Linked DNA regions of Xenopus tropicalis. Each later gene encodes a partner of the first gene's protein in a complex. Links are inferred from orthologs where the notes say so. Each region holds a gene or a part of one and is shown on either strand. Other genes may lie near its edges.

Region 1 (4,531 bases):
CATCATATACATAGGACAAAAGTGAATTTATCCGTGCAATACAATACATATTATACATTTAAGTATGAAAAACACATGTGCAATATAAATATAAAATAATAAAAAAACATTTTTTCTGTGCAAACATGTGAACACTCATTTTCTTTTTCTGTCAGTTCTAAATTCAGTCCCATGACTGAATAACAACAATGTATCTCAGGAGAGGACCCATGGGATACTAAAAAATAAAGTAACAATTATCAGATTAAAATGTTACATAGTGAACCTTAGTTAAAAACATTGCTATTTCCTTATAGGATAAGCACAGCTCAAAAATACAGGACCTCTTACCCTAACACGTCGAAAAGGAATATTTATCCCTGATGTCCCCCCAGGAAAAAAATTATCTGTAAAAGACACAAATGAAAAAACAAATTACATCTATCTAAAGCAAAAACTGCAAAAAGTGTTAACTATAAAAAACAAGACATGTTAAATTCATCGTTTAACCCTTTTGGATGGCGAGATTGTAAAAGCCAGATCCAATAACATTCTCTCTGAGATAATAGTTTCTTCTTTTCTTGACCTTGTTTTACATTGATTTTTTCCAAAATCTGCCTCTAGCAGAGTGCACCGGGCGTTCAATTTTGGAGAGCTAGGGTGTGCGGAAACGGTCTCTGTTGTGCCTTCCTGTTCTGAGCTACACATGCCCACCAGCCAATCAGAAGCGGATCTGGCAGGGGGGGGGGAGGGAATGAAACACATGTGCAGTATGAAGCAAGGAGGGAAAGGAAGGGAGAATACCTTTTTAGAGATGGCTGCCTGTTCTAGAAAATGTGAAGTGTGACTGAGTAAATATTTGATTAGGTCAGCCAAAAGTGTGGCGTTTTTACTAAACAGTAGGAGGACTATTGGGCAGTATGCTTTTTAAATTTTGACTTGCATTCTCCTTAAAAACCTAGAGAGGAAAGGAAGTTTTAAAAGCATAGTGCAGAGAAAAAAGAAATAAGCAGAATGAGTAAACGAATGAGTAAAAGTAAAACACACTAAAAAGTATAGGAGGAGAGAGTTAATATAAGTGGGTGTCAGTGTTCCCTCTAATCTGTGCACACAAATTTTGAGACCAGGGCGCACAATAAAACACAGAATTTGGTAGTGCTCACCACTCAAGGATGAGAATTTTTCATTTCAGTGCCATACCTTACTGACAGTGGAGCAAAACCCAGGCACCAGCAGCATGTTTTTCACACTTTCAGTCCCTTAGTTAGGGTGCACTTGCATCCAGGGCATTAAATGGGTGGAATTAAAATACAGTTCAGCGTTTGCAAAAATGAATTTTATGTCTTATGGTCCTAATTAGTTTTTGGGGTGTAAATCACATATGTCTAAGCTTCTATCCTCCAGGTGTTGGGGAACGAGATTATCCTGGGAACTGTTCAACAGCAGATGGAGAGCCAGAAAAAGACTGGGCATCTCTAGCAGCAAAAGCCCAGCAATGCTGCCCCCTTTCCTTTGCTGTTGGTTACAGGGAGTGCTTAAAAGCAGCAGTTCTGAGGATAAATCGCATACAAGCGGTTGTTGGCATACAAGTAGCCTAGAATAAATATGAAAGCCTCTGCATATGTCATTGCGTCATATAATGCTTAGGAAAACCTGGAAGACGAACACAGGCAGAACATCCTTGCAGCCTCTACATATGCACCTTTCCTTCTCTTCCTTCCCACCCTCGCCTCAGCTGTCAATGAAACGCACTGCCAATCCAACAGCCTTGGGCAGAATAACAGACGGGCTGGAGGCTTTCCATTAAAGTACTTCCTAGCAATATGTGTGCAATGACTCCTCCTTGTTACCTGTAATGTTCCCCTTGCGCCTCCTTCACCCCCACCTCGGTTTCCCGTAGTGTCCTGCCTATTGATGCCTAGCACAGCGATGTGACAGTGGCAACAGCTCTGGTGGAGGAGGAGGAGGAGGAGAGAAGGGAACGATCAGCTGGGAGGATTATAGCCCTGAACAGACGAAGGAGAACGAGTGAAAGGAGGGGAGGGGAGACTAACCAGCAGGCTGGCAGGCAGCGTGGAAAGGAGACAAACATAGCACAGGGTCTTGCTGGACGAATAAAGCTGTGGCATTGTGCAGGAGGAAGGAAATCTATGGACAAGCGATTGCTCTCCCTGAACACGATCTGATAGGAAGAGCTGCAAGGACAGCGAATAGGCACAGCACAGATAGAGGGGAAGGAACAGCTCCATAATCTGAACGGGGATCGACTAGTCACACGTCTGCATTCAGCAAACAGGTGCCGGGAAGCCCTTAGCTTAATTGACCGCAGCCACTAACATTATTACTCACAGGAGGGCACATTGTAGGCAAAGCCAAAGCTGCCAGGCAGTAAAAGGGATTTCGTCTATTTTTCTTCACACTGCCTATACAATTAGGTCAAACAAACGAGCTTCCAGGGACGAGCAGAAGGGAGAAATGAAGGACTATCTAGCTGGGTTTCGCGTTTGCAATTAAGGGAACGTATGGCAGTGCTGTGACAGTATTGGATATGGATTGCCCGGCTTGGTGGCTCTGGGAATGAAGATACAGCCCAGTTCCAGCGAAGAAAAGCAAGGACATTATTGTTTATGAGGGAGGGGGCAGCGAAAAAGGGACCCCCAGAATCTGTTTGACCTGCTTCCTTCCCCCTCTCCTTTGCAGTATGGCTGGTGTAAGAATTTGGGGCTTGAGAAATCAGCGGCTTTCAGGGTACCCTGAGTCTTCCTGTTAGCAATGGCAACCTGGAACGCGTCTCAAAGCATCTTTAATAGCATGAGCAACATCATTGAGAACCCACACTCCAAATCTCACCCCGTGATGGCGTCCAATGGGGAGTCCTTATTTATTCCAGTCACTATGGAGGTGCCTTGTGACAACCAGGGGACACGTATGTGGTGGGCATTCCTGGCCTCTTCTATGGTGACGTTTTTCGGAGGTCTTTTCATTATCCTAGTGTGGAGGACCTTCAAATACCTGTGGACTGTATGTTGTCACTGTGGGGGCAAAAACAAGGTAACGTTCTGCATCTCAACTTGTGTCATTCGTGTGTGTCTGTTATTGAAGGGGCTTCTGTTCAATTTGCCTGGCCATTTGGCCTGTGTTTGTAGTCGTGATGGTAGGGAGGAGGAGGAGAGATGTAGGAATCATTTCTAACAGAGGACAGCACTCAGCAAGCATAATTTGTCAGAGCACAAACATATCAACATATATGTATATCCTTATTGATTAAGCCATACTGTGTATGCAGGACTGGTGATGTTTTCTATCACCATTTTTTTCTGCTGCACTGTCCATGAAAGAACTGTAAATACTGAAGTTTAGCTAGAGGCTGTTATTTTAATAAATGGTGGTATTTTATTAAATGCACATAGTGGCCTTGAGTTGACAGTCCATTGACCCAAGGATTTACCAGGATTTTTAACACCACAGGCAATATTTGAATATTGTGGCCCACTACATATTGTGCAATTGTCCAATGAAAGATATATATATATACTTAAAATTTAATTACCTAAAATATATTATATTTCTATATACTCGCATACACCTAAAATGTGCATTGTATACAAAAATATACACCTCTGTAGTGATTTTATTTGTATTTGCACTACACCTAATTGTGATTTTTAAAGTAGTGTTGTTGACAAAACATCACATCAACAGTATTTACAGAATACAAAAATTTGACCAAACGCTTTATATAAATTAAAAATCACAACTGCCAATTTCCCTGAAATAAATCTCCATGATACCATGTAATGTCATTTTTTTTACCCTTTACTAGACAGTTCCATTACCTGTGAGCTTTAAAGTGCTGGTAATCTGAGATAACCATTTTGAAGTACAGGATTTACTTTATATGTCACTGGAGGTCTTTTAACAGGATATCACCAACAGTTTTAGGTGTATGTTTGAATCCACTACTTATCTAGCCTGTATAAAATTAATTAGGGGACCTCCGTCAGTTCATTTTGCACATAGAATTATAGGCCCTTAATATGTGATACTATGTGGAGCTGCCATTTCTAGGTCCTTGCTGGAATAGTAAGTTATGTGTACTGCAGGCTGATGGCTAATATGTTTAGCAAAAGGACTGCCTGGTACATTTAAATGTAATGCACTGTTAGGCTGTGGCTCCTATTCGCTTCTTCATCTGCTGATGCGCCATGTCAACGTGTGCGTAGTGCATCGGCAGATGCAATGTGGAGAGATCACCTTGGCTGTCAAAACCTATCCTGGCCAGGCATACATGCCCAAATGGTTGGGTAGTATAATCAGCCAAACTCTGTTACCAAATATAGATATGCTTGGTCATATACTGACAATAGTCAGTATGACCCAGCCTCCAAAGTGAAAAACAGATTTTGAATATAATGATTTAACACTTAAATGGAGATAAAAAGAGGTCAGAGGTTTGTTATACACAATAGAATGTGTAAACATGTAAGCATTTTTTTTTACAAACATGATCTTATAAGTTAAGCATTTATTAATGAATTATAGTATATAGACC
Region 2 (3,819 bases), on another chromosome or scaffold:
TGAAGAAATGTAGTTAGGAGCAGAGGAGTGAAGGGCTTTGAATGTCAGCAGAAGGATTTTGTAAGCTATCCTTTGCTTGACAGGCAGCCATGCTAGTGAGCTTAATTGAGGCTGAACAGGATCCCTCTTAGGAGACAGCAGGAGGGTCCTGGCAGCAGAGTTTAAGATTGATTGCAGGGGAGAGAGGTGCGAGTCTGGGAGGCCGGTTAGTAGGAGATTGCAGTAATCTAAGCGGGAAAGGATAAGGGCATAGATTAGTGTTTTAGCTGTTGCTTGTGAAAGAAAGGGGCGTATCTTGGCAATATTGCGGAGGAAAAAGCGGCAGGTTTTGGCAGTGTTATTAATATGGTTAGAGAAGAAGAGTGACTGGTCAAAGATAACCCCAAGGCAGCGTGCAGAATTTACAGGGTTGATGGTCATGCCATCAATAGTAATGGTGAAAGAAGGAGGAGGGCCAGGTTTGGGCGGGAAGACCATGAGCTCTGTTTTAGCTAGGTTAAGTTTGAGCTGGCGTCGGTTCATCCAGGAGGAGATAGCCAGGAGGCAGTTACCAATCTGGGTTTGAACATCAGCGGTTAGTGCAGGGGTGTCTAAATATATCTGGATGTCATCTGCATTTAATTGATATTTAAGACCAAAAGAAGAAATAAGGTCTCCTAGAGAGAGAGTATACAGGGAGAACAGCAAAGGACCAAGCACAGAGCCCTGAGGCACCCCCACACTAAGCGGAACCGGGGTAGAGGATTTGTTAGTAAGAGCGACAGAGAAGGAGCGGTTAGAGAGATAGGAAGAGAACCAGGATGCTGCCTGATCCCAGATCCCCAGAGAATAGAGAATTTGCATAAGGATAGAATGGTCGACAGTATCAAAAGCAGAAGAGTATCAAAAGCAGAGGATATTTTAGATATTTTATGATACAGAATGTGCCTTTTGTTCATATTTCTTTTGATCTATAGAGGTACCATGAATAAGTGTGCATACAAGGCACAGGCTCGGAAGGGCTTTTATAGTCCAGAGGTATTGTGTTGGTGATATATGGAAAATATGATCCAGTTTCTTTCTCATTATTCAGTACATCTAAAGGACACACTCATTTGCATTGGTCAGTGGAGATTATAACTCTTTTTGACTTTGCCTATAGTAATATGTGCGATAATTTCAGTGTTAGGTGCCAACGTTTCGATATTTTGATGCCTTTATATAAGTGCCTAATATATAACACACACGAGCCAAGAGTCTTGTAAATGATATCCTTACAAATGGTGCATAGTGATGCTGTCAGTTATAATAGGTGCTTAGTGAGTCATATGACTCACTAAAATGTGTCTATTATAATGTACCCCTTATGAAAAAATATAAGAATATTATGTCACCTCAGAGTTCCATGACCTGTATAAAAGCATTTGGCCTAGTGCCTTTGTATGGGGGTACACTTTTCACTATATGTCTCCTTTGCACATTTTGCACATTTGCTTATATTTTGAACTGCTTTGCAACATTTGATCCATTTTTTTGGGGATAGTTAGTAGGTAAAATAATTTCACAGAAAATGTAAACAGTACAAAATAGTGTTGTGAGCTATAATACATTTTGTACTACTGAGATTAAACACAGATCGGGGTCCATTTACCAATGTATGTGTTAACCAGTGTATGTGTTAACACTAATCTTTTACACAACAGCATACCTCCCAACATTTGAAAAATGCAAAGTGGGACAAAAGAAAATGCTGTGCATAGTCCCGCGGAAATTGACCATGCCCATTTTTTTGACCACACCCCTAAATACCACTCCCATTTTACACAATTTGGCAGGTTTCGTAAAGTTTAAACACATTTCTGGGGATTTTGGGGGTCTTGTTTTATGTATTATTACAGTTTTGCTAATGCTGGTGAAATTGCCCATTAAGCTGCAAGAGACCGGTTTATCTTATTAGTTACTATTGTATCTAAGTGCAGGTGTTGAGTATTCTAGGCTCTCTGCCAAAAGCCTATTTTTCTAATTAGGTTTGAGAAACTTTGTTTTGTTTTTCCTTTGGTATTATTGATATATGTTCCCCTGACTGGTCCTACCCACTGGGGTGTTATTTTGATCTTAGGTCTGATTAATATGAAAACATTTTGTTTAGAAGCAAGGACCCCTTTCTTGCTTTTTGTGTAGTGCAAAAGCACCAATAATGCAGCTTCTGGCAATGCACCACTTAGATTAAGTGTAAAATAATAGTAAACCTTGGCAAAATTCCTTTGTATTCACACATATAGTCATTATACTAGAGATAGTAACAGTGTTACTGAAGAGACAGTAATAAAGGCACACTTTGCTTTCTTCATATAGAGGAGAAATATCCTCTAATATTATTCATCAGGAGGTGCAGAAAAGGCCATATATAGTCATCTAGCCTTAGTAAAAGATATTATTATCTAATATAATACACAAGTTACTATTTTGAAAACCAGGAAAATATATAGAGGTAAACTCTCCTTCCCACACTATGCTTAAGCTGTTGCATGCTGTTGAACCTTAGTAGGAGGGCCCTGTGTTATGCCTTTGTTAGGGGCCCCACCTTCCTGCTTGTGCTGTGGTCTTGTATCCTTCCAGCCTGCTCTCTCCCCTGTATACTTGCTTTTCCTCCATATCCTCAATCCCTCTCCTCCCTCTCTTACTCTTGCTGCTGTCACAAACATATTGATTTTTGAAAAAATTTACTTCTGTGGGAAAGGATTGTCACTAGGCTTTCCGCACCAGATTAAATTGGCATACTATCTGTTAAATCAGTCTGAAAAACAAAATACCTGCGCAGCAGATATGTCGGTGTAGATTGTCCCAACTCTTTGTGGTTTATAAGAATTCAGTACTAGGTTGTGATTAATATGATTTCTTTAAAGGAAGGGAAACTTGATGTACCTATTGTAGCGCATAGAACTAATTAAATGTTTTCTGAAATCCATCTCAACAGTGTTCCTATATTCCGCCCTGCGAAAGAGAAAACCAGAAGAACTCTGAAAACGTTCTCAGCTGGCAAGAATACTGGAATAACGAAATTGGATTTCAAACCTTTACTTGCTATTTTAATAAGCACAGAAGGTAAAAGAAACATTTTATACCTACAATGGCAGTGGGAAGTTGACAATGGAAAGTTGTCTGAAAAATTTAGTATGAACAGATTTCCAGTTGGTATTACATATATTTAAAGGGTAAGGAAAGTCACAATTGTCTGTGGGTGCAAAAAGTTAGGTGCCCCCCAACGATTGTAATCTCTTGCCTGATCCCCTGGCCAGTGCTCCTGGTAGCAGAAAACTGTGCTAACCAGGGGTTTTAATAGCAACCACCTTCTTCTTTCGTCAACATCCCAGAGTAGACATATGCGCAGTAGAGTGAAAGGGCAGGGTTTTAAAGTTCTGCTTGTCACTGCACCTGAACCCCAGGCAGTGTTCTGCAACATTGTCCCGGGGTATCAGGTAAGTGAATATAGTCACTTAATTTTTGCACCCTCAGTGATTAATAAGAAAGGATTATTCTTATTTTCAAATGGGGCAGTTTTGATTCTTTCCCTGATAATCTTAAAGGAACAGTTCAGTTAAAAAAAAATATTTGAATGTAAAATTGCTCAGTGTTCCTCTGAAAACAAAGTTTTTAAATTTACTTTGTTGAAAACTTCTTTTTCTTAGTAGCAGTTTTACACTGCTAATTTCATGATTTTGAACAACAGGGCTTTCGCTGCTCTTCTGGCCCCCTGGCCACCACAGTTTAACTTGTATATTTATCATGCTGTGTAAAAAGTGGAGTAAAACATCATCGGTGATGTTGCTCAAAGCAGCC

The links.
Region 2: the proteins of kcnma1 (region 1) and kcnmb4 are in contact, whole or in part, in a cryo-EM structure (PDB 6V22), measured with the Homo sapiens proteins. The link is inferred for Xenopus tropicalis from reciprocal best matches to the Homo sapiens genes KCNMA1 and KCNMB4. Residues at the interface, in NP_001154824.1 of Homo sapiens: Phe98, Phe99, Leu102, Phe103, Leu106, Leu107, Arg109, Thr110, Tyr113, Leu114, Thr116, Val117, Asp238, Leu240, Trp241, Leu244, Pro327, Trp328, Asn330, Gln332, Leu367; in NP_055320.4 of Homo sapiens: Thr11, Glu12, Ala13, Glu14, Lys16, Ser17, Leu20, Leu24, Ile34, Phe35, Cys38, Trp39, His105, Thr164, His165, Val183, Leu186, Ile187, Leu190, Thr191, Ala194, Leu197, Ala198, Lys200, Ala201, Met204.

The regions. Positions count from the first base shown.
Region 1 is NC_030683.2:53,920,540-53,925,070, forward strand, and holds the start of kcnma1 (calcium-activated potassium channel subunit alpha-1), read left to right. Parts: upstream 1-1,688; 5' UTR 1,689-2,751; coding exon 2,752-3,030; intron 3,031-4,531. UniProt on the Homo sapiens protein: Potassium channel activated by both membrane depolarization or increase in cytosolic Ca(2+) that mediates export of K(+). It is also activated by the concentration of cytosolic Mg(2+).
Region 2 is NC_030679.2:59,410,762-59,414,580, forward strand, and holds part of kcnmb4 (calcium-activated potassium channel subunit beta-4), read left to right. Parts: intron 1-2,956; coding exon 2,957-3,084; intron 3,085-3,819. UniProt on the Homo sapiens protein: Regulatory subunit of the calcium activated potassium KCNMA1 (maxiK) channel. Modulates the calcium sensitivity and gating kinetics of KCNMA1, thereby contributing to KCNMA1 channel diversity.